Linked DNA regions of Drosophila melanogaster. The protein of the gene in region 2 binds, or shares a complex with, the protein of the main gene of each other region. Each region holds a gene or a part of one and is shown on either strand. Other genes may lie near its edges. The genes, in order: msl-2, mof and msl-1.

Evidence for each region.
Region 1: mof (region 2) and msl-2 share a complex: the UniProt entries of both Drosophila melanogaster proteins name them as parts of the male-specific lethal (MSL) histone acetyltransferase complex.
Region 3: mof (region 2) and msl-1 share a complex: the UniProt entries of both Drosophila melanogaster proteins name them as parts of the male-specific lethal (MSL) histone acetyltransferase complex.

Annotation. Positions count from the first base shown.
Region 1 is NT_033779.5:3,461,311-3,467,904, reverse strand, and holds msl-2 (male-specific lethal 2), read left to right. Parts: upstream 1-1,792; 5' UTR 1,793-1,853; exon of another isoform or gene 1,854-1,986; 5' UTR 1,987-2,265; coding exon 2,266-4,198; intron 4,199-4,250; coding exon 4,251-4,639; 3' UTR 4,640-5,687; downstream 5,688-6,594. Other genes in the region: Pif1 DNA helicase, read left to right, coding at 1-54; ND-PDSW (NADH dehydrogenase (ubiquinone) PDSW subunit), read right to left, coding at 651-772, 843-1,118, 1,489-1,570; CG3246 (uncharacterized protein), read left to right, coding at 6,054-6,135, 6,199-6,467, 6,525-6,594. UniProt on the Drosophila melanogaster protein: Limiting component of the male-specific lethal (MSL) histone acetyltransferase complex, a multiprotein complex essential for elevating transcription of the single X chromosome in the male (X chromosome dosage compensation).
Region 2 is NC_004354.4:5,873,233-5,878,787, forward strand, and holds mof (males absent on the first), read right to left. Parts: upstream 3,622-5,555; 5' UTR 3,521-3,621; coding exon 1,037-3,520; 3' UTR 608-1,036; downstream 1-607. Other genes in the region: GAA1 (glycosylphosphatidylinositol anchor attachment 1), read right to left, coding at 1-24; Usp30 (ubiquitin specific protease 30), read right to left, coding at 4,198-4,315, 4,374-4,573, 4,814-5,555. UniProt on the Drosophila melanogaster protein: Histone acetyltransferase that catalyzes the formation of the majority of histone H4 acetylation at 'Lys-16' (H4K16ac), an epigenetic mark that prevents chromatin compaction and constitutes the only acetylation mark intergenerationally transmitted.
Region 3 is NT_033779.5:18,682,920-18,690,627, forward strand, and holds msl-1 (male-specific lethal 1), read right to left. Parts: upstream 5,882-7,708; 5' UTR 5,507-5,881; coding exon 4,268-5,506; intron 4,208-4,267; coding exon 2,327-4,207; 3' UTR 801-2,326; downstream 1-800. Other genes in the region: CG31751 (uncharacterized protein), read left to right, coding at 1-346; CG10336 (uncharacterized protein), read left to right, coding at 6,875-7,708. UniProt on the Drosophila melanogaster protein: Component of the male-specific lethal (MSL) histone acetyltransferase complex, a multiprotein complex essential for elevating transcription of the single X chromosome in the male (X chromosome dosage compensation).

The DNA.
Region 1 (6,594 bases), on a different chromosome or scaffold from region 2:
CTGGCTAAGCTCAAAAAGAGTCTCATCAACAAGCCGCTGGTCTCGATTAGCTGAGCTCGAAAGTAATCTAAGATAGCGTAATTCTAGAAAGCTTGAACAAATTTCACTATTGCCTATCTATTGGTATCTATTTCTAAAAGTGTAATTTTTTCTTTTTTTAAGAAAAGCAAATGATTTATGGACTGTGCATTCCTTTTTTTAAAAAATGAGAAATTATGGAACTCTTTTTGAAATTGTCTAAATTTTCGAAAAAGTCTGAAGAATTACAGTGTGAGTTTTATGATTTATCACTATATTCTGTAAACTTATTGCAGTACGCAGGCAAAAACTTTATTTTACTCACTGGAACAACTTAACCAAGGCTCTTAATCTTGAGAACTATTAGTTTTAAGCTAGTCTATAGCCAAAATTCTATATCAAACGCCAATATTAATATTTATTTTAAGAAAAACATGACTAAGAATAAATGCAACTAATAGACAAATGAATTGAAACTGCTGTAGTAATAAATAATTCCTAGTAGCTCTTACCTTATAATTTACACTGAAACAATTGAAAGAAAGCTCAATCCTTGGGAATATCGTTTTACGGCGTGTATATTTTGTTTTAACGGATAATGAAACTAGAAAACATCATCATAAAAGCGGAGTTTAATGGGCGGCCTCCTCCTTCATGCCACTGCCCACTGGTCCATGACGACGCTCCCAGATCAGACGATGCTTCTGCTTCATGTACGCGGTCTTGGCATTGGCGTAGCCTCCCAAGTCGCCATCTATAATGGGTTATATCTCGTTATATATCACATACAACTTTAAAGAAGATGGGTAAGGGATTCCACTCACACTTGATGAACCAGTTCTCGGTGGCCTTCTCGTACTGATCCATCAGCGGCCTGCACTTGACCATGTGATCGGGTGCCTCGTAGAGGGTGCAGTCCTCGAAGCGCTGGCGCAGAATGTTGACAATCTCGTTGTCGACCATGCGATCCCGGCGGAACTGCTGATCGGCCTCGAAACGGCAGACGGCATCGTCCGTGTAGCACTGGTCGATCGTCGGAACGCGGCGGAAGCGCTGGTGGTACCAATTCTGCTTCTGCTGGTTCGGCTCCACAATGCTCTCTGTGGGATTAACACAAGGCGCATTAATAAAATATACTAGCTGTAATGCATTTCTGTTGAAAAACATGATCCCGCTTTGACTAGATGAACTATATAGTAACGGACGGCATTTAAGGGCTGCCGACTAGTATTCTAAGAGATTTAGTTTGCGCTAGCTAGAAATTACTTAAAACGGTTGATTATAAACATTTTAGCATTTCAGCAATACAGTGTAAACAAAAACAAATGGACTGCGAGTTGAGGTTATGTCATTATGTAATTGTCTGGAATTTGTCCGGTTTTTCCGATCGTTGGCCAAAGGAAACGCAAACTTGCAGCATCTGGAGACTCCCATGACCATGGCCATTGGGAATCCCTGTGGACTACATACCACGGAACCAAGTTATGGGTCCATCGATGACATTCAGCACCGACTCGGCAAAACTGGCCATCGGACTGCGCGGTTCCGGCATTTTCTGGCTCTCCTACCACCTGGCGTAAGCGGAAGAGCTGTTAGTAAATAATTTCCAAGGTTTTCCGCTTTCCTTTGACGGAAAATACTTAAAAAACCATATTTACTTGAAAAACTAAGTGTTAAAATTTGTTGTAGGACCGCAGTTCGTAACTGCGAAAATTCCTCAGAGCACTGAAATCAGCTGTTCGAGGTAGTGGTCACACCTATGCCGCACTGCAGCTAGCATGTTCGCACTGGCACACTGCGGTCACACTGGCTTCGCTCAGCAAAATATTGCTTGGGTAATTTTTTTTTTTAGTTGCTAATTTATTGTTTTCAACGCTGTTGCACAGTGTGCAGCATAACCATTAACAATGACTTGAGACCTCTCAAACGTAAACCAATTTTTTTTTTTTTTTTGCACGTGAAACATAGTGATAACGAAGCCACAAAAGTGAAACCAACAAAAAGCGTTCCAGTAAAGTTACCATTAGATAATGAAATCGAGGATTAACGCGGTCTAAGCATGTGTAACTGAGCTCCTACGGGCGAGGAATTGCAGGTAACTAGCCCAGGAGGCACCAGGTAGCGGAGCAGGTGGCGTGGGTCGGACCGACAAGGCACTTACTTGGCCAGCGGAGTCTCACTTTTGGGCTGAAAAACGTAAACAAACAGCGGCGTGCGTACAGTCCCGGGCATAAAAATATAGCCATCATGGCCCAGACGGCATACTTGAAGGTGACACGCATCGCGATGCGCTCCGCTTCGAATCTTTCCAAACGGCGGGTGGAGGAGCTGAACTCCGGGCTCGGCGAGCTACGGCAGCTGCTGTCTTGCGTGGTCTGCTGCCAGCTGCTGGTGGATCCCTACTCGCCCAAGGGCAAGCGGTGCCAGCACAACGTGTGCCGGCTGTGTCTGCGCGGTAAGAAGCATCTGTTTCCCAGCTGCACCCAGTGCGAGGGTTGCTCCGACTTCAAGACCTACGAGGAGAACCGTATGATGGCCGCCCAGCTACTGTGCTACAAGACGCTGTGCGTCCACCTGCTCCACTCGGCATTATTTGGTGAGCTGGCCGGGATGCGGCCCCAGGTGGCCAGGGAGCTGGTGCCTCGCATCAAGCTGCCTCCCAAAACCACACAGGAGTTCATTCGCGAGGGCTCAAACATCTCCGACACTTTTGACATCTTTCTGCCCCAGCCGGATTTGCCGTTCCTCAAGGACATGCCCACATCGCTGCCCGCAGAGACGCCGCCTACGTCGGCGGTCACGACTCCGGAACTGCCCTATGATCACCACCTCAACATCAGCGACATTGAGGCGGAGGCGGCGGCCACAGCGGAGCAGGGTCACTTCTCGCCGCTTCCCCTGCTGCCCACAGGATCTCGCATGGGCATGCTCTCTCACGCCGGGCAAATAGTCATTGCCACCGAGAGCTCGGAGTCGGGCTTCATGGACCAAGCGTGGACGGATCAGGTAGACCTGTCTGGCACGGTTTCGGTGTCCAAATACACAAATAGCGGCAACAACTTTGCTGTCTCCTACGTGATGCCCACTTCTGCGACCACGAAGTTCGATCCACAGGAACTGCAAATCGGCCAGGTGGTGCAAATGGCGGACTCCACTCAGTTGGCTGTGCTGGCTGCCGTTGAGGAGACCGTCGAGACGTCCACACAGTTGACTGTGCTCTCCACCACCGTTGAAGAGACCGTTGAAACATCCACGCAGCTAGAAGTGCTTACCTCCGCTGAGGAACCCAACGAAATCTCTGATCAATTGGCTAATCTGCAAGTTGAGGAATCTGATGAGGCTCTGGTTGAAGAGACCGTTGAAGAGGCCGAAGGGACCTCAATCCCGTCAGAGGTTGTAGCTGAGCACATGGAGGAGGATCAACACTTGGATGTGCACACTTCACAGTCACCTACACAAACCGAAATGGAGGAAGCAGTGGAGGAGCATGTTGCCACAAAAACACAATTGGGTCATGTGCAAACAGAATTGCAGGATGCGGAGTCGTTGCAGAAAGATTTTGAGGACGCAAAGGCAGCGGCTGAAGAGGCGAAGGAGAAGGAGAAGGACCTGCACGCAATCAGTGCTGAGCTGCAGAAGGAGGACAGTGACGAGCCAACACTTAAGCGAAAGAGAACCCGTACTCTCAAAGCGTCACAAGCTGCCAAAATTGAGCCTGTACCGTCTGAGGTCAAGACTAAAGTGCAATCTGGAAAGGGCGCTCTTCGCAGGATTCGGGGCAAGGACAAGGAGGAAAAGGTGAAGCCTCCGAAGCCGAAGTGCCGCTGCGGTATCTCCGGCTCGAGCAATACCCTCACCACCTGCCGGAATTCCCGATGTCCTTGCTACAAGAGTTACAACAGCTGTGCCGGGTGTCATTGCGTGTGCTGCAAGAATCCGCACAAGGAGGACTACGTTGAAAGTGATGAGGACGATGATTTGGAGGATTTCGAAATGCCGAAGGACGTTCCAGAGCCGATGACTCAGTCGGAGGAGCCGGTGGTAGCTGAGCCTAGGCAGGAGGAGAACAGTATGGCGCCGCCAGACTCTTCTGCCCCCATAAGCCTAGTGCCGCTAAATAATTTGCAGCAATCCCAGCATCCTTTGGTGCTTGTTCAGAATGAGAAAGGCGAGTACCAGGGTAAGTTACCTCATCGCTGTGTTAGACCTATCTAACCCTGTTCCAATTGCAGGCTTCAATATCTTCCAGGGCAGCAAGCCCCTTGATCCGGTCACCGTTGGCTTCACTATTCGTGTCCAGCTGCAGCACACCGATGGCTTCGGTTCCCTTCCCCAGTATGCTTATATAATGCCAACAATTGACCCGCCGAATCCACCAGCTCCATCACTTTCGCCACCACCGCCTCCTGCTCCTGACAGGGAAGTCATCGAGCCACCGGCCAAGAAATTCAGGACCAGTCGAACACGCCGAGGAAGGGCCAACTTCTCGGCCCTCGACACGGTGGATGAGCTTGTCAGTGGCGGATCCAGGAGCAATTCTGCCGCTGGCGACAGATCATCGGCCACTGACAATGCCCATTCACTGTTCGAGGAGATCATGTCGGGCTCGGATGACTTGTAAGCAAGACGACTCATCCCTATATGTTTGTTTTTTTATGTGCTCAGTGATGTCCAGGTATCAATCCTTTAATAGATAATTTTTATGTACGTTATGGATGGTCGAATTCAGCACTGAATTGCATCCATAACGTGGTATCGTCTTTGATCCTCTTATCATACCCGTTATTCGTAGAGTAAAAGGGTATACTAGATGTGTTTCCGACCATGTAAAGTATATATATTCTTGATCAGGATCAATAGTCGAGTCGATCTGGCCCTGTCCGTATGAATGTCTCGATCTCAGGAACTATAAAAGCTAGAAGGTTGAGATTAAGCATATAAATTCTAGAGACATAGATGCAGCGCTTGGTTGTTTACCCATGTTGCCACGCCCACTTACCGCCCAAAACTTCCACGCCCACAATTTTAAATTTTTTCTCATTTTATTTCCCAATATCTCTTGGATATCCCAGAAAAATGATGAAATTTCGCGTTCGTATTTCCACTAGCTGAGTAACGGGTATCTGATAGTCGGGAAATTCGACTTTAGCATTCTCTCTTGTTTTTAACTTGTGGTTTCGTTATGCTATATATTCCCCCACTCAAACAACTTCCACTCAAATCAACTCCCAAATATCTTTTAGGAGCATTCTACAATCTGATTTTTGTAATCATCCAGCAAACGTTTCCAAAACTCAATTTTTTTTTAATACGTATTAAGCCAAAAGTCGTATACATAACTATTTAAAGCAATTCTGCAGCTGCAGCAAAGATAATCTATTTAAGAGTAAAGCATTAGTCAAAACTAAAGATTATTTTCGTTCAACGAACAGCGAATTATAGATTGCTTTGCCCAAAATGTGGATGCTGTGAGCTAAAAAAAACCTTTTTTTTTAATAGGCTAAGACATTTTTTTGAATAGGCTAAGACTTTTTTTGAGCATGAATTTTTTTGAGCACGTGAACCTAGGATTAAGAACAACAATTCAAGTAAGCCATATATACCCATATTATATATGCGAACATATAACTATTAAAATATTCAAATAAAAATGAGCATTGCTACTACAGAAAAATGCGCGATTTTCTTTGGGTTTCAAAACCGTTTTCGAACCGTAACACTCTTTGCCTCATGCAAGCTGCTAGTTCATGATTTCTAGAACATCGTTCCTGGGAGTGGAGTGAGTTCCATGAGTGCCTACAATGTGCTGGCCGCTTCCGCTCACTTAAGTCACTCAATCTCAATTCCGAGTTTAATCAGCAGCTCCGCGAGCAGAGTCGCCCTTAGATAAGCGGATCGCCGCCTGCGGCTCATCATTATCTTTTGATTAACGCGCCAGTCGACAGTGCGTGTTTGTTCCGAGTAGAGAACGGAGGCTGGCGCGTTTTCTTCCATTTTCCAACTGATAAGCAGAAGCTCCAGCTAATCCCCGAAAGATGAAGCCGTTGATAGTGGTCGTGCTCGTGGGCCTGATGGCAAGTGGCTGCCACATTGTTCACTCCCAGGAGCCTGGCGATGGTAAGACGAATTCCAGTCTGAGCTCTACCGGAACTAAGCCACTCATTAATGACCTTTGAGCAGCTGTGGAGCAGGAAGCCAGCGAGTCGGATGACGCACTTAAGATCAAAGAGAGTCAGGCCAGCATAGCCGCCCAGGTGGAGGCCATGCTCGTGCACTTTCAGCAGGAGGATCCGCAGGGTCTGCCCGGCGTGCCCGTGCCCGATCCGTTGGAGGTGCCCAATGTGAAGAAGAGCATGGGCATGGCCAATCTGGACATGAAGCAGGTCAAGGCGTATGGCTTGTCCAAGTTCCGCATTGATAAAATGAACCTAGACCTGAAGGAAATGAGAGTAAGTTTTCAAGTTGAATTCGAATTGGCTTGAAGTTTCCACTCCTCTGTCCTGCAGTTCAACGGTGGCCTCCAGCTGGACCAGATGCTGGTCAAGGGCCAGTACACCCTCAGTTCATTCTTTTCGA
Region 2 (5,555 bases):
CGACGGATCGGACAGCAGGCCCATTTTGGCTGCCCTATATCCTGTATATATCCCGAATCACAACAACACGAATCGGACAAGCCGGCGGAATTGTATCGATGCGGGCGTTATCGATAACCTCGATAACCGATTGCTTATGACGCTAGGGAGGAGAGGGTTAGCAATGGATTTTAATGCTCGAAATTTTAAACTTGTTTTTCCAATGTTTTCGATATTTCTATATATATTTTTTATTATATCAAAATATACATATTAAGCTAACCTACAAGAAATGTGTTGCAAAAATAATGAAAAGAATAACCTGTCGTTGTAAATATTTATTTAATTTTTCCTCTTTTTGACGTTAATGTAACGACGCATTTATTTGAGAAAGTACATCATGTTCTCAGATTGGAGTTTTTCTTTTTTACAGTTTAAATCATTTATTATTGTTCATTAGTCAGTAGGAATCGTTCAGTTCTTTCTGAACTTAACCTAATGTGTAGCCTAAAAGATATTATGGATTCTCTTCCTTAATTATAGTGTATAAAAATGTACCGTGGAGAGATTATGCTATCTTACGTGTAAGGAGTTCATAGAGATGTATTCTCTTCAGGCGTCGGCATATCGGCTGCTGTGGAAGTTTATTTGGTTTTTAACAAGTCCAGAGTTTTTCGAGATAAAGTAGTTAAAGATATATATTTCAAGAACACAGAAGTTTTTAAAATTTTTAAATGGTTGTTCCAAATTCCCTCTCCAAAAACATTAGCCAAACGAATTAGACATTTGGTTCTATCATTAAGAGTTACAACAGCCTATCCGTAAAACTCCTTAACTATAAAAAAAAAAAATTGTAAACCAAATGTTAAGTATTACATTGAACCTTCTGATGGTTCCATTTAGATATATGACTATACATTTTTCGTTTGGAGGGGTGCAATAGAATAGCTTATTCCTACGCTTTCTTTAAAAAAAAATAAAAAAAAAAAACCTAATCGTCATCGTCAATAACAATTATATGCGATGATAGCAGAACGGGGTCTCCAGGTTCCGTATGCTAGCCGGAATTTCCCGGAGCTCTGACCACTGCCGCTGCAGTTTGCGGACTCCAGACGAGGTAATCGGTGTCGATGGTCAGCTTGGGCTGCTTGAACTGCGGCAGCTGGAGGTGGTCTTGAATGGTCTTGGACGTAACGCAAATGACATTCTGGCCCTTCCAATACTTGATCATCTTCATGGACTGCAGCGTGTAGATAATGTCGTCGTGGGTGATGCCACTCATTTCGCTCAGCTCCTTGATTGTGATCTGCTCTGGAGCGCAGCGGGTTTTCATCAGCTCCAGCAGCGTGTATGCCCAATAGCTGCGATAGCTCAGCCTACCCAGATCCGAGAGCGGTTTCTCCGGACTACCGATTACGCCCTCCTTGCGCGACAGCTCATAGCTAAAGGCTATTAGTAGCTTTCCAAATCCCTTACGCTGATGCGGCGGCAATACCAGAATGCAGGCCACGTTGTAGTTTTCCAGCGACTTCTTTTCCTTGGAGAAATAGCCCACAATGTGACTGCCCTCCTTGTCCGTCTCGCAAAGGATGTAAAAGAGAAACGGGTCCATGTCGAAGTATAGAACCTTGTGGTCCAAAAAGAGCTTGGCCATCAGACACAAAAGTTGGCAGTATAGTGACTCCTCCTTGCCGTTCACCTCGTAAATGGATATATTGCCCTTGCGGTAGATCTCTCTTCCGGGCGGACGCCTGCGGTCGCATTCGTGCAGATGATAGGCATAGCTCGACCTGAAGCGCATGTACTTTAGGCAGTACTCGCAAACATATAACGTACGTGCCTTGCCATATTCTTCGGGGAAGGGACTAAAGTACCAGGTGTCGATCTCGTAGTTGCCAAACTGCAGCTTATCAATGTACTTGATCTTCGTAATGGACTCGTGCTCCTTCTCCAGCGCCGCCTGCGTGGCGGTCAGCTCAGCGTGGCTCTTCTGCACGTGGTTGATCTCATCGTAGCGCCGCTTCTGGTAGCGTGTCATCTTGCGGTCGCTGTAGTCATAGCGACTGTTCTCGCAATAGGACAGATAGTAATCCTTGTTGGCCGCACGCTTCTGCCGTTCGGATGAGGCAGCTGCCGCCGCGGCGGCCTGTTGGGCGAGCATTTCCCTGCTAGTACTTGGCTGATCGGGGGCTAATGGTGGCGCTGGCAGCACGGTAATACCGCCCAAGTCATCCGCATTGTCCGAGATCCTATGCCTGCCCACCCATCCGTCCAGGCGGCGATTGAGACCAACATAGTGGACGTAGTACTCATCGGGAGCGGCCGCATTCTCAGTGGTGCGAGACTGAAGCACCTGGCCACGGTGCACGGTGCCATCCTCGCGCCGAATAAAATAGATCTTGTCGGGATTTTCGCTTATATCGATCTTTTGCATCAGAGGGTCACCTGTTGTGATGACCGTCTCCCTGGAAGTGTTGTCGTGCTCCATGGTCAAGGCATCATCTTCGTCCTCCTCTTCCTCTTCATCGTCATCGCTGCTGCTAGTTTCGCTGCTGTCGTCAGAAATGGCCTCAACGTTGGCGCTAAGTACGGTTTGAATGGGCAGAACTACGGCTGGCGGCGGCATGTTGCGCTGGCGAGGATCACGCGGCGCCAGGCGGGTGGGCAGGCCAGGTGTCGATTCCTGCATGTAGCGAGAGCGTATGTAGGGGGATAAATATACTGCTGGTGGTTCCTCGCCGTCATCTGTGGGCGAGGCGGGAGTCTCGGGGACTTGTTCCGCTGCTGGAGGAGGTGGTGGTGGCGGTGGGGCAGCCAATGGCAGCCCCAGTTGTTGTGTCCCTTTGAGATGAAGAGGAGCTGGAATGGTAACCACCTCGGTGATTATTGCATTGGGAGGAGCATCGGGATCCATAACGAAGTCGTCAATGTTGGAACCACTGCCGTAGGGGTTGATGTCGGCCACGCAGATTACCGTATCGGAGGAGGGCTCATCCTCGGTTTCAATTTCCTGGTCCACCACCTCTTTCTGCTTCTGCGGCTGCGCGGGCTCCTGTGCCTCCAATTCAACTGGACCTGGTGACTTCACCTGATCCTGACCGTCCTCCTTCTTTTCCTCCTGCTGCTGCTGCTGTGGTTGCTCCGGCTCGGGCTCCGGTGGTGCCTCCTCCGCCTCGCTAACATCGTCGTAGCGGGAGGAGCTGGACGACCTGGTGGAACTAGTCGATGTGCTGCTCGCCGGCGTGCTGTCCTCCGAAATGGGACTGATGTCGCGATGCTGGCGCTTCGCCGGTGGCTCTGACTCCGCCGCGGCCTCCGCTTGGACACCGCTGAGGTCGAGCGACTGCTCCGCCGACTGATCCGAGCCGCTGACGTCTAGACTGGCGCTCAATTCGGCCGCCGCATCTTCAACCGGCGTCCTCGGCGGACCGCCAATTGTGTACGCATCGGTTGGCTCCTGTTCCGGCTCATGCTCCTCCTCAATCGGCTGCTCCTGCACGTGGCCCGCGCTGGGTGTCTGTTCCAGCTCCGCTTCAGACATTCTTAGCCACTAGATTTGTCCAATTGCGTATTTTTGTTCACTCTTTAGGGAAATGAAACGAAATACGGCGTGAAATGCAACCCTGATTTATCACAACATGTCCAGATAATCGATTATTAATCGGTGGTTATCGATGTACAATACTTTGCACCCTTTTTGAAATTACCCTTCTGGATTTTTCTGTGCATTCAGTATTATAATATATTTTATTTATCCAAAACCTTCAGAGAAAGCACTTTAAAAAATTGGAACTGATTTCGAAATTTTTATTGAACATCTATCCTACAGAATTAACGCGCAAACAATTATTGGTAGTTGATTTGTGTACATTGCTAAATACAGACAGCTAAAAGCACGGCATGAATTTGGAATTCTTAAAAAATCTTAAATGCATAGATAACAAATGAAGAGTCGAGCTCTCTGTTACGATAGGGAGTTCCTATATGCAATAAGCCGTACACAGAGTTTGGATTATGCGGAGACCATTACATGAACCCGCCGAGTATAGGTCAGATCATCGTGGGTTCCCGTACTTATATGAGTTATGTATATATATCTATATAAATGTGACGCGTGTTTGCTATGGCCACCGTTCGACGAAAAGGATTTGGTTTCGGATATTCATATTCATCACATCAAAAGTATGGACTAGAATAATACCGACGACCTACACCTGACTAGCGCAGATTTAGCTGCCTCTGCTGGCCACGATCGTAGAATAAAAGATAGGCGGGGACGCTCAACACCTCGTCGATGCTCACCTCCCGCACAATTGTATCCGATGTGTAGTACCACCTAATAAGGATAGCACAGAATTAGCATAATTATTACACAGAGGCAATGGAAACCATACCGATGTGCGTTCCGCAACGAGCCACGCCTGTAGGTTACAAAGTGACCGCTGTTTGCCTCCCCGGAGTGCACCACCACGGCCAGAAGCCGGTAAAGATTCTTGGGGAACATCGTGCCAAAGCCCTCGCCACCACCAACGCCATTGTTCATCGGCAGGCTGGAGGAATACAGCGACATTGTCGAGCCCCAGGGAGTGCCAGCCTGTAATCATGAGCAAAAGTGTTTGTTTTAACAATATGCTAGTTACTAAATGTAAACAGTTCTTGAATTGAATGCCACTACTCTTTGTACACCAATTAGAAAAGGAAAGACCTATATTCTATAGATATATCCTATACATATATATCCTTTAGATATATGTATTTAAATGATCATATATAAGGATAATTTTTACAGGGGAAGTTTGTTATTCTGGGGCAAACATATGCAACACACGCTCACCTGGCTATTGAGATGCGGCTGCACGAAGCTGTAGGGCGCCATGGAGAGGCTCTCGGGGAAGTGTACATAGTCCTTCCGCTTGCACACCTGTCCAGTTGGCAGCCACACCGTCCGCGCCACATGGATGCACAGGCAGGCCGGTAGTTTAGCGAACGTAACCGATTTGGTGTGCGTGGTGGTCTCGTTGCAGGAGTCACACTTGACATCGCTCAGATCCTCCGATGTGATATACTCGCTAAGCAAGTGGCCCAAACTCAAGCCAGTTCTGCGTTGCGGCGGCAGATTTAGCGTTATGCTGTCGAACTTATCGTACCGAACGGCCGACTTGGAGCCGCAGCCATTGCACACGATCTGTGCGCCCATGGCGCCCTGAAACGGATGCGCCACTTGGCTGGGCATCATGTTGGACCAGATGGACACCCGACCTGGTCCGCGATGCAGGCGCTCTAGCGATCGACAGGAGCTGGACACCCGGCGATTCAGACCCTCATCCTGCTGCTGTTGGGATTGTGGAAGTCGCGGTCGCGACGAACGCTCGCCGCCCAACATAGGCGTAGCCAAGGAATCCGGATTGCTGACGAGCGGAAAGCCAAAGGGTGTCCCTGGCGAAACGGCATCCAGAAGCACGGATCCCAGGCGATCGTTTCCGTCGCGTTCGCAAACAGAGGCAGGCGAATCCGGTGTGTGGGCCTCGGAACGCACCAATCGCTGCAAACTGGTGCTCTCATCATACTCCATGTTT
Region 3 (7,708 bases), on a different chromosome or scaffold from region 2:
GAGCAAATCGCCACTGATCTTCGAAATTGGAATTGCCCTCACTTATATGATACTGCAGGCCAACGATTTGGCCAATGGTGGCATATTTCTGTCCGGTTATACCAGTCTGAACCCAATTGAGAATTCCGAGCTGGCCCTTCTCAAGTACTGTGTTACTGCCCGATTTGTTCAGAGCCTGGTAATGGGACTCTACACCCACACGCTGCATCCCACAAATGAGTACCTCCTGGTGACCCAGGAAAAGGGATGGAAGCTCCTTCAGAAGCTGTGGCGCGAGAGCTTTGACGATATTGATGAGCTGTGGGCAAGCACTGGACACCAGTACTTGACGCAGAGCAATAAATAATATAAAATTCCGTTAGGCTTTTCCGTTTTTTAAAGGTATTTTAACTGATTTTCAATCCAGCTATTCTGGTTGTTGAAGATTTTGTATGTTATGTTTTCCATTAGGTAACGAGGGTCAGATAAAATTGTCACAGCCAATATATAGAGTATAATGAAGCATTTTCTAAGATATTAAATACATTTGCAATTAGCCCCTAAACAAGTTTATATCGAGATGATCGCAAACAAAAAGACATCTAAGGAAACCAGAAGCAAGCGATGCCAGGTCATTGGAAAATCAATTGAGGCCTGTTAAATAAACCCATTGTCAATTATTAGAATTTCATTTACATATCACCTGTGCAAAATAAGTTGCAAGTCCAAGTATTGATTGCATTTCGTTGCTTTACAATTTACTTTATCCTGTATATTATTATCGTTATCTTTACAATAAAACTTGTTAAACAAATACAAATACATTGTATGTAGTACATTTATTCTTACAGTAGGTGAGTTTGTTTAGGGCTCTACAATGGTGGCAATTAATTTCGAATTGATTTTTAGTTGAAGCTTCAGTAAATTGAACTATTTAACGCTAATTACATTGAATGGTGTAAAATGGTGTTGAACGAAGTTCATCCACCCTCCGCTCCTCCTTTTCCTGGACAATGTACATCGTATCGTATTTACTTTGTTACATTATAATTATCTCTATGCGTTTGGGTACAGTGCCTACTTAACGCTATATTACAAGTAACCGACTTTACACCTATCGAAATGTACAAAAATAAGACGCCACTCGAAAGCGAGCTGGTGATTTGATTTCTCCGGACGTTGGCAGGCTCCATATCATTGCGACAGAAAGTCAAACAGAAGAAGTGTTAAACGAAACAATATTTAGCCAAAAATACATGGTGCCCATAAGGCCAAACGGGTGTGCAGTTCGGGAATCAGTTTTATATTTATTCTTCAAATCTAGTTTTCATCTTAACGGCCTTTCTTGTTCGATACAACATAAAACAAGTTTAATGAAGTTAATAAAATAAAACAATAGATCCAATGTATAATTTGATTACTCGAAGCAGACAACCACTCGCACTCAATTTTTACACAATCAAATCCTAAAAAAAAAGACAAATTATCAGAGATATACCTGAGTAACTCTTTGCAACACACACGTTGTCTGCATTCGAGAATCGACAGATATAACAGTATAAACAAAGACAAAAAAAATGGTTATAAGGGCTAAAGAAAAAAAATATTTAAAAATATAAGTCTACGAATTTCATTGTTTTTCTCCAAAAAAATGCCCAATATAACTTATGTGAATATCTTTCGTGTTCTTATCACTTTAGTGCGGGCGATTTTAAAGGTGATAAAGCTGAGATGAGTTAACCAATCTAACTAAGCGACTGGTTTGAATTACATGCTGTGTGGGACTAAGTAATTTACGTACATTGGAAACAAGCAAGGGTGAAACTCTTTTCAATTGCAAGACGTTAACTAAAAACTAATCATTTCCAGACCAGGCGACGAACATTTGGATTCATTTACATCTAATATAAGATCGAATTATTTATATTTCAAGGAAATAAATATGATAACAATTTAATAGAAAAATGTTTGAATAGGACAGCTCAATTTACTTGCCTTTTAAGATCTCTCATCGCATAAGAAACGACAAAACTTTGACATAAATTTATAGATTCTATAACAAAGAATTTCTAATGTTCCAGAATTCAGCGTTCCGTTCATTTTATTACACAAATAAAAACGGACAGTTGAGGAACCATATATACAATAAACATCGTCTGCTCTGGATTATTTGACTTCTAGACGATCTGTGGTAATCGTTACTGTTAACTCTGGTGCTTTCACGTTAAGCTTAAGAAATAATTCATGATTTAAAACTGAAAATCATTAGTATGTCAAACGCAACGACTTCCCCCAACCGACAGTCTTCTGCTTAGCTCCAGTATCAGATCCCCCAGGCGTTTCCTGGCTAACGATTCTTCTGGCGCTTGCGTCGCTTGGGAAACACGTAGGAGGAGTGATTTTCTTGATGCCTCGCCTCGGCAGCAGTGGTGGGTATTTTTTTGCTAGCCAACGTTGCCACCGGCTCAGCCAGTGCCTTGGACCTGGCTATGGAGGTTGGCGCTTCGATTGCATCCACCCAAGGCACACCGAAATCATCCCGCGCCTCCATGTTGACCACGTTTTCGCCGAATGCCTGAACTGTCACCTCGTTGACGAATTGGATGGCCTCTATGTCCTCGGGCAGCGGGTAGAAAGTGGAGGCGCGCAGAGGATCCAGCGCAACCAACACCTCGTCTTGGTTCCGTCGCATCCGAAGCTGTTCAAGCCGTATCTGCTCCTTCATATAACGTGCATCCCTACACTTTCGATCGACCTCATCCTTCACATATTTCTGGTGCCGGCGCTCGAAGGTCGCATCGCTCAGTAATTCTGTGTCAATTTTATCCGAACTGGGTGGCACTGGGACATCCCGCCACTTGGGTATCTCCAGACTAGGGTTATCCGCCAGCAGCTCGTCGGCCTCCTCCAGGAAGAACTCGTTGTCACAGTGGAACTCCTGATCCTCCCACGTTCTCGTGCTGTACGGAAACGTGGCAGTGCGGAATCTGGACTGCAGTTTTCCCGATCTCGCCGTTGCCTTGCTGTACGTGTGGGGTGAACAGTTGTTTAGCGTTTTTCGGATAGTCGAAGTGGTGCTGCTAACACTGCTATTAGATTGAGGTGTCAGAGGAGTTGCTATTTGTTCAGCTGCCTTGGATTTCGATTTTGCTGCAGATATTTCCTGGTCCATTGAGGATGTAACCGCATGCTGTGGCGTTGAGCCAGGCGTTGGTGTCGTTGACGGCGTAGGCGCTGGGGTTATTGTTGTTGAGGATACTGGTGCACTGGGTGGTGGATATATTAGATTTGTGGCGACTCTCTCTCTTATTTTCTTGAGCGTAACCTGTGACGAATGACTCTGGCTTAGGAGCTCCTTTTTTAAATGTTCCGCCAGTTTTCTTCTAACTGTTTCCACATCTATTTCTTGATCTGGGCTCTGAGACGTTTCCGACGTGGTCTTTTTATCATTGACCAACATACTTTTACTTTTAATGGTTTTCGTCTCGGGCGTCGAAACTGGATCAACGTTCTTTTGTTTCCGAATATCAGACGGGGCGGAGGAGCCGGTTCTCATGTCAGGATGCATTTCATACTGCCTGATCTTAACCTGCAAACGCTGCGTTTTTACAGGATCCGTTTGCGTCTTGGTGGACTGATGGTTGGCTATTACTTTTTGAGCGGGAGCGTCTTTTATGTCAGCGGTGTTTGCCTTGGGCAACGTGCTTTCTCGAGAGGATGTTTTCGTAACCTTTGGGGCTACCGCTTTCGGAAGGTGCTTAGGTGCATCCTCTGGTTGCCTTTTCAGAGTTTCCTTCTGTACCTTACGAACATCCTCTTGTGGTTCCACGCGAACATCCAGCTGCCCATCCTGCCTCTGTTCGTCTTTGGGCTGGTCCTTCGGTTTTAAGTCCGGCTTGGGAACTTCCAACTGATTCTTTATTGCATTATGATCAACGATGGCATCTTCCTGATGCGGCTGCTGCTTGGGTACTTCTGGGGACTCGGGGACTGATTCATGTTCCTTATCCTTTTTCTTAAAAGCCACCCACTTCGGGAGAATCGGCGCTTCTAATGCATCTACCATTGGCTCAGGCTTTAGTTGCAACAACTTTTCAGTTATCCGATTCTGATTTCCTTCTTTCCTTATCTCTGCCTGTGTCGAAGACTTCTGCTGGTGATTGGGAGTTGAATGGGCCGAAGGCGCACAGGTCTTCTCCTCCGTCGGGTCCAATTCCAAAAGGTAATTCTGAAAGAGTAAAGGATTGCTCGATATATTCTTTTAATTAAATAATAACATTAAACATACCTGATTCTGCCAGAGCTCTTCCTCAGTTCTGGCGTTTACATCCGCATCGCTATGCATCCACGGATAATCATCCTCTTCACTGTCATCGTCTTTATCACTATTCTCGTCATCTTCGTCGTCCTCGTCATCATCCTCCTCGATATGGCCGTTGGCATCCACGGACTGTCCATGCTCCTCCATATCAACCAGCTCTTCGGTGACCACTTCCATTTCAATTGATTCCAAAGCATCATGAAAGATATCGCCTCCAACGACTTCCTCGGTGTGCACTTCTTGCATATGCAGATGATCTTCCTCAGCGACCAGTTGGTCCTCTTCCTGAGATATTTGCTCCTTATGTGCCTCCATCTCGTGCTCCTCTGCTACTTCCGTTTGCTCGTGGATGTGGTGCTCGAAGTCCTGATTCATGCGCTGGAGAATAAACGTGCTCACCTTTTTACCGTTGAATTCACCGCGGCCTTTGCTCTCCGAGCGTTTGCTGGCTGGCTGATTCGTTACCGCTCCAGCGTGATGGTCCAGAGCGGGAGACTCCTTCATGTTGATACCCCTGGGAAGTGCATTCGCGAATTGAGGCTGCGCATCTATCGTTTGTGTGCCCTGTTCCCGCTCCCGAAACACAGTTTGCGTCTCAGCATGACAACGTATCAACTTCTGCTGCGGGGCAGCAGGTGGCAGTGGGGGATCATCGTCGTCGTCGTCATTGTCGTTCCTTCGCTGGTTCTTTCGCCGCAGCTGTTTGCATAGTTCCTGGTTGGCGGCCTCCAACTGAGCAACGGCCTGCTTTAATTCCTCATTCTGCGCCTTCACCACGCTCATCTTAGCGCTTTGGTCGTCCAGCTCCTTGTCCTTGGCCGCTATGCTGTCCGTCTGCTCCTGCATCAGGTTTAAGTTCAACATAACCATGCGCCTCAGGTTGTTGTTCTCCGAGATGAGCTTGACCATATCGGCGCCGGCACACACGGTTCCGCCGGAGGAAGGAGGAGCCATGGCTCCGCCACCATGCTCAGCTGGCAGCGAATGCAAAAGCTTTCGGTAGTTGTTATTACCCCCGCCATGTCCTCCACGACCATTGCCATATTGCTGGCGCTCATAGATCTTCCCGGGATGCTGATGAAGATGCTGCGTCTGATTGGGATGGCCGTGCAGATTCCTTTGGCGGCCACGCGACGGTATGTGGGGATAGGGCGATTCCAAGTAGTTGGCCCGCTTTTTGGGCGGCCACTTGAATCGCTTGTCCATGGCAGTCGAATTGAATCCCGTGCCGTCGGTCCTACGATCTCATAATTCTCCAAATGTTTTTGTTTTGTTTTGGTTTTGTTTGCGTCGCTTGGGGTGCACACAATCTCTTCAGCTGATACGCCGTACAATGCGTAGAATCCCGATTACAATTTCGCACCACACTAAATTTTCCTTGCTCGCCCTCGCAAAAGAACCGCTCTTTTCTTGGCCAGAATCTAATGGATTTATCGTTTTAAACGTGGCGTTCTTATCGCACGTGGTGACCGCATTTAGGCAGCAGTTTTTCGGTTCGTTTTTGAACGTTCTTTCACCGCTTTTTCCACAATTGTCCTCACAATGTAAAGTCGCCCCGAAAATGCTCTTAAAAGTATGGCGTTTTGCTGGCGTTGCCACTTTTCGCCAAAGCGCAGAGTTGATTGGGGGCATAGAGATGGCAATTTGCTGCGATGCACGAGCTGAGCACGACAGTCACGAAGTGAAAATATTTTCACGAAACTGTACTTTGTTGCACATAATAGCTAATAGCTAAGTTAACACGAGCCGACGAACTAGTACAGTTGGCTTAGTGTATGAAACATAATATCAAAGTGCTGAGACAGCATTGGGCCGGAGTCTTTGTTAGCTTTAAGAATCATTTTAAGTTTCAGCTTAAATTTGCAGTTACCAGAATAAAGAGCGGCAGCTCGTCAACTCCGACTAAATGTCGTTAAACACATTTTTATTTCTTACTCTGCCAGACCACAAGGATAGCAGTTAAAAGAGGACAGTTTCTCTCAACGTAAATAATAATCTTCCGTTGCTCCCCGGATAATTATTTTCAATTTTTATGTGGTATGAGTAATTGGAATGAGAAAATAGATGAAAAAGAAACTAGCTAGCTAATAATGTATTGATTTTATTTTATTTTTTTTGGTAATTTTATTACATTACCAACTCCTTTTAAATATTTCACTAAATTTAAATAACTACAATCTTTGGATGAATTATCCTTCCTTGTATAATGGTATAAATATAATAGAATAACAAAAACTCGTGACGCCAATGTGTCGCTTAGTGATAAAAAAAACGTGTCACGCTGCCATCTCTTATGTCTGCTGCCACCAATGCAAAAGCCGGGTTGGCTGTACAAATTACCTTTAGTGCCACCCACTAATGAAAATATGTCTAAGCAAATCAAAATAGCCTTTGGGAAAGACCAAATAGTTATGTAATCGGAAAATTAAAAGAACAAAGAGCTGTTCAGTTGGCAGCCCCCTGTGACTTATGCAAGCGTCGCCTGTGAATGGTAGATAGAGAAGAAGAACAAAAATTGGCGCCAAAATTTTGTTAGATTGTTTATTTGGTATTTAAGTTTCGGCCACTAGTTCTATGGCATCCCTGTTCGGAGATGATGGTGTGGATGACCTATTCAATGACAACATTCCGACTGACCCGGATCAGCTGCCCAGCGATGGCGAAGGCGAAAAGCTGTTTGCGGACGACGAGGACAACGGCGTAGAACCTGGTAGCCAGGATGCCCAGATAGTGGAGCCTAAGAAGCGAGCTGTGAGAAATCCCCGACCGCGACTCACTGTGGAAACACTTCGAGGTCCTCGTGGCATCCAGACCATCGAAGATTATTTTAAGGACATCAAATTCAAGGGCAAGGGTTACGAGAAAACCGATCTCGACGAGGTGCTTCGCCGCCTGCAGCACTGGGGCCATCGTATGTATCCCACCTACACCTTTGACGATGTGCTTAACAATATCGAACGGCTGGGCAAGAAGAAACCCCTCCAAGTGCACATGGCGCGATATCGACTCGGTCAGCTGGAGCAGATGCGCGCCCACGAAGCGGAGGCCCTGGAGGAGGCGCAGGATGAGCAACAGGAAGGTGCCGGCGATGAACCCTTTGATGAGTTCGACGCCCTGCTAGGTGAACAGATTGCCATGTCCAGGCTGGCGCCTCCCAGCCCGCAGCAGTGGAAAATGTCTACTGCTTCCAGTAACAGCACGCTGGCTACTCCGTCATTCTCCCGCGGCAATGCTGTAATGTCCACGCCGTACTCCGGTGTAAATGCGACCTTCGACAGAAGTGGAGCTTCTGTGGCTCCGGCCTTCGATCGGAATGGAGCTCCGTTGGCATCGATGGACATCAGCGACTATGGTCAGCCGCTGCCTCCCTCACAGCCTCCCACGCCGGCGGCTAAGAAATTATCCAAC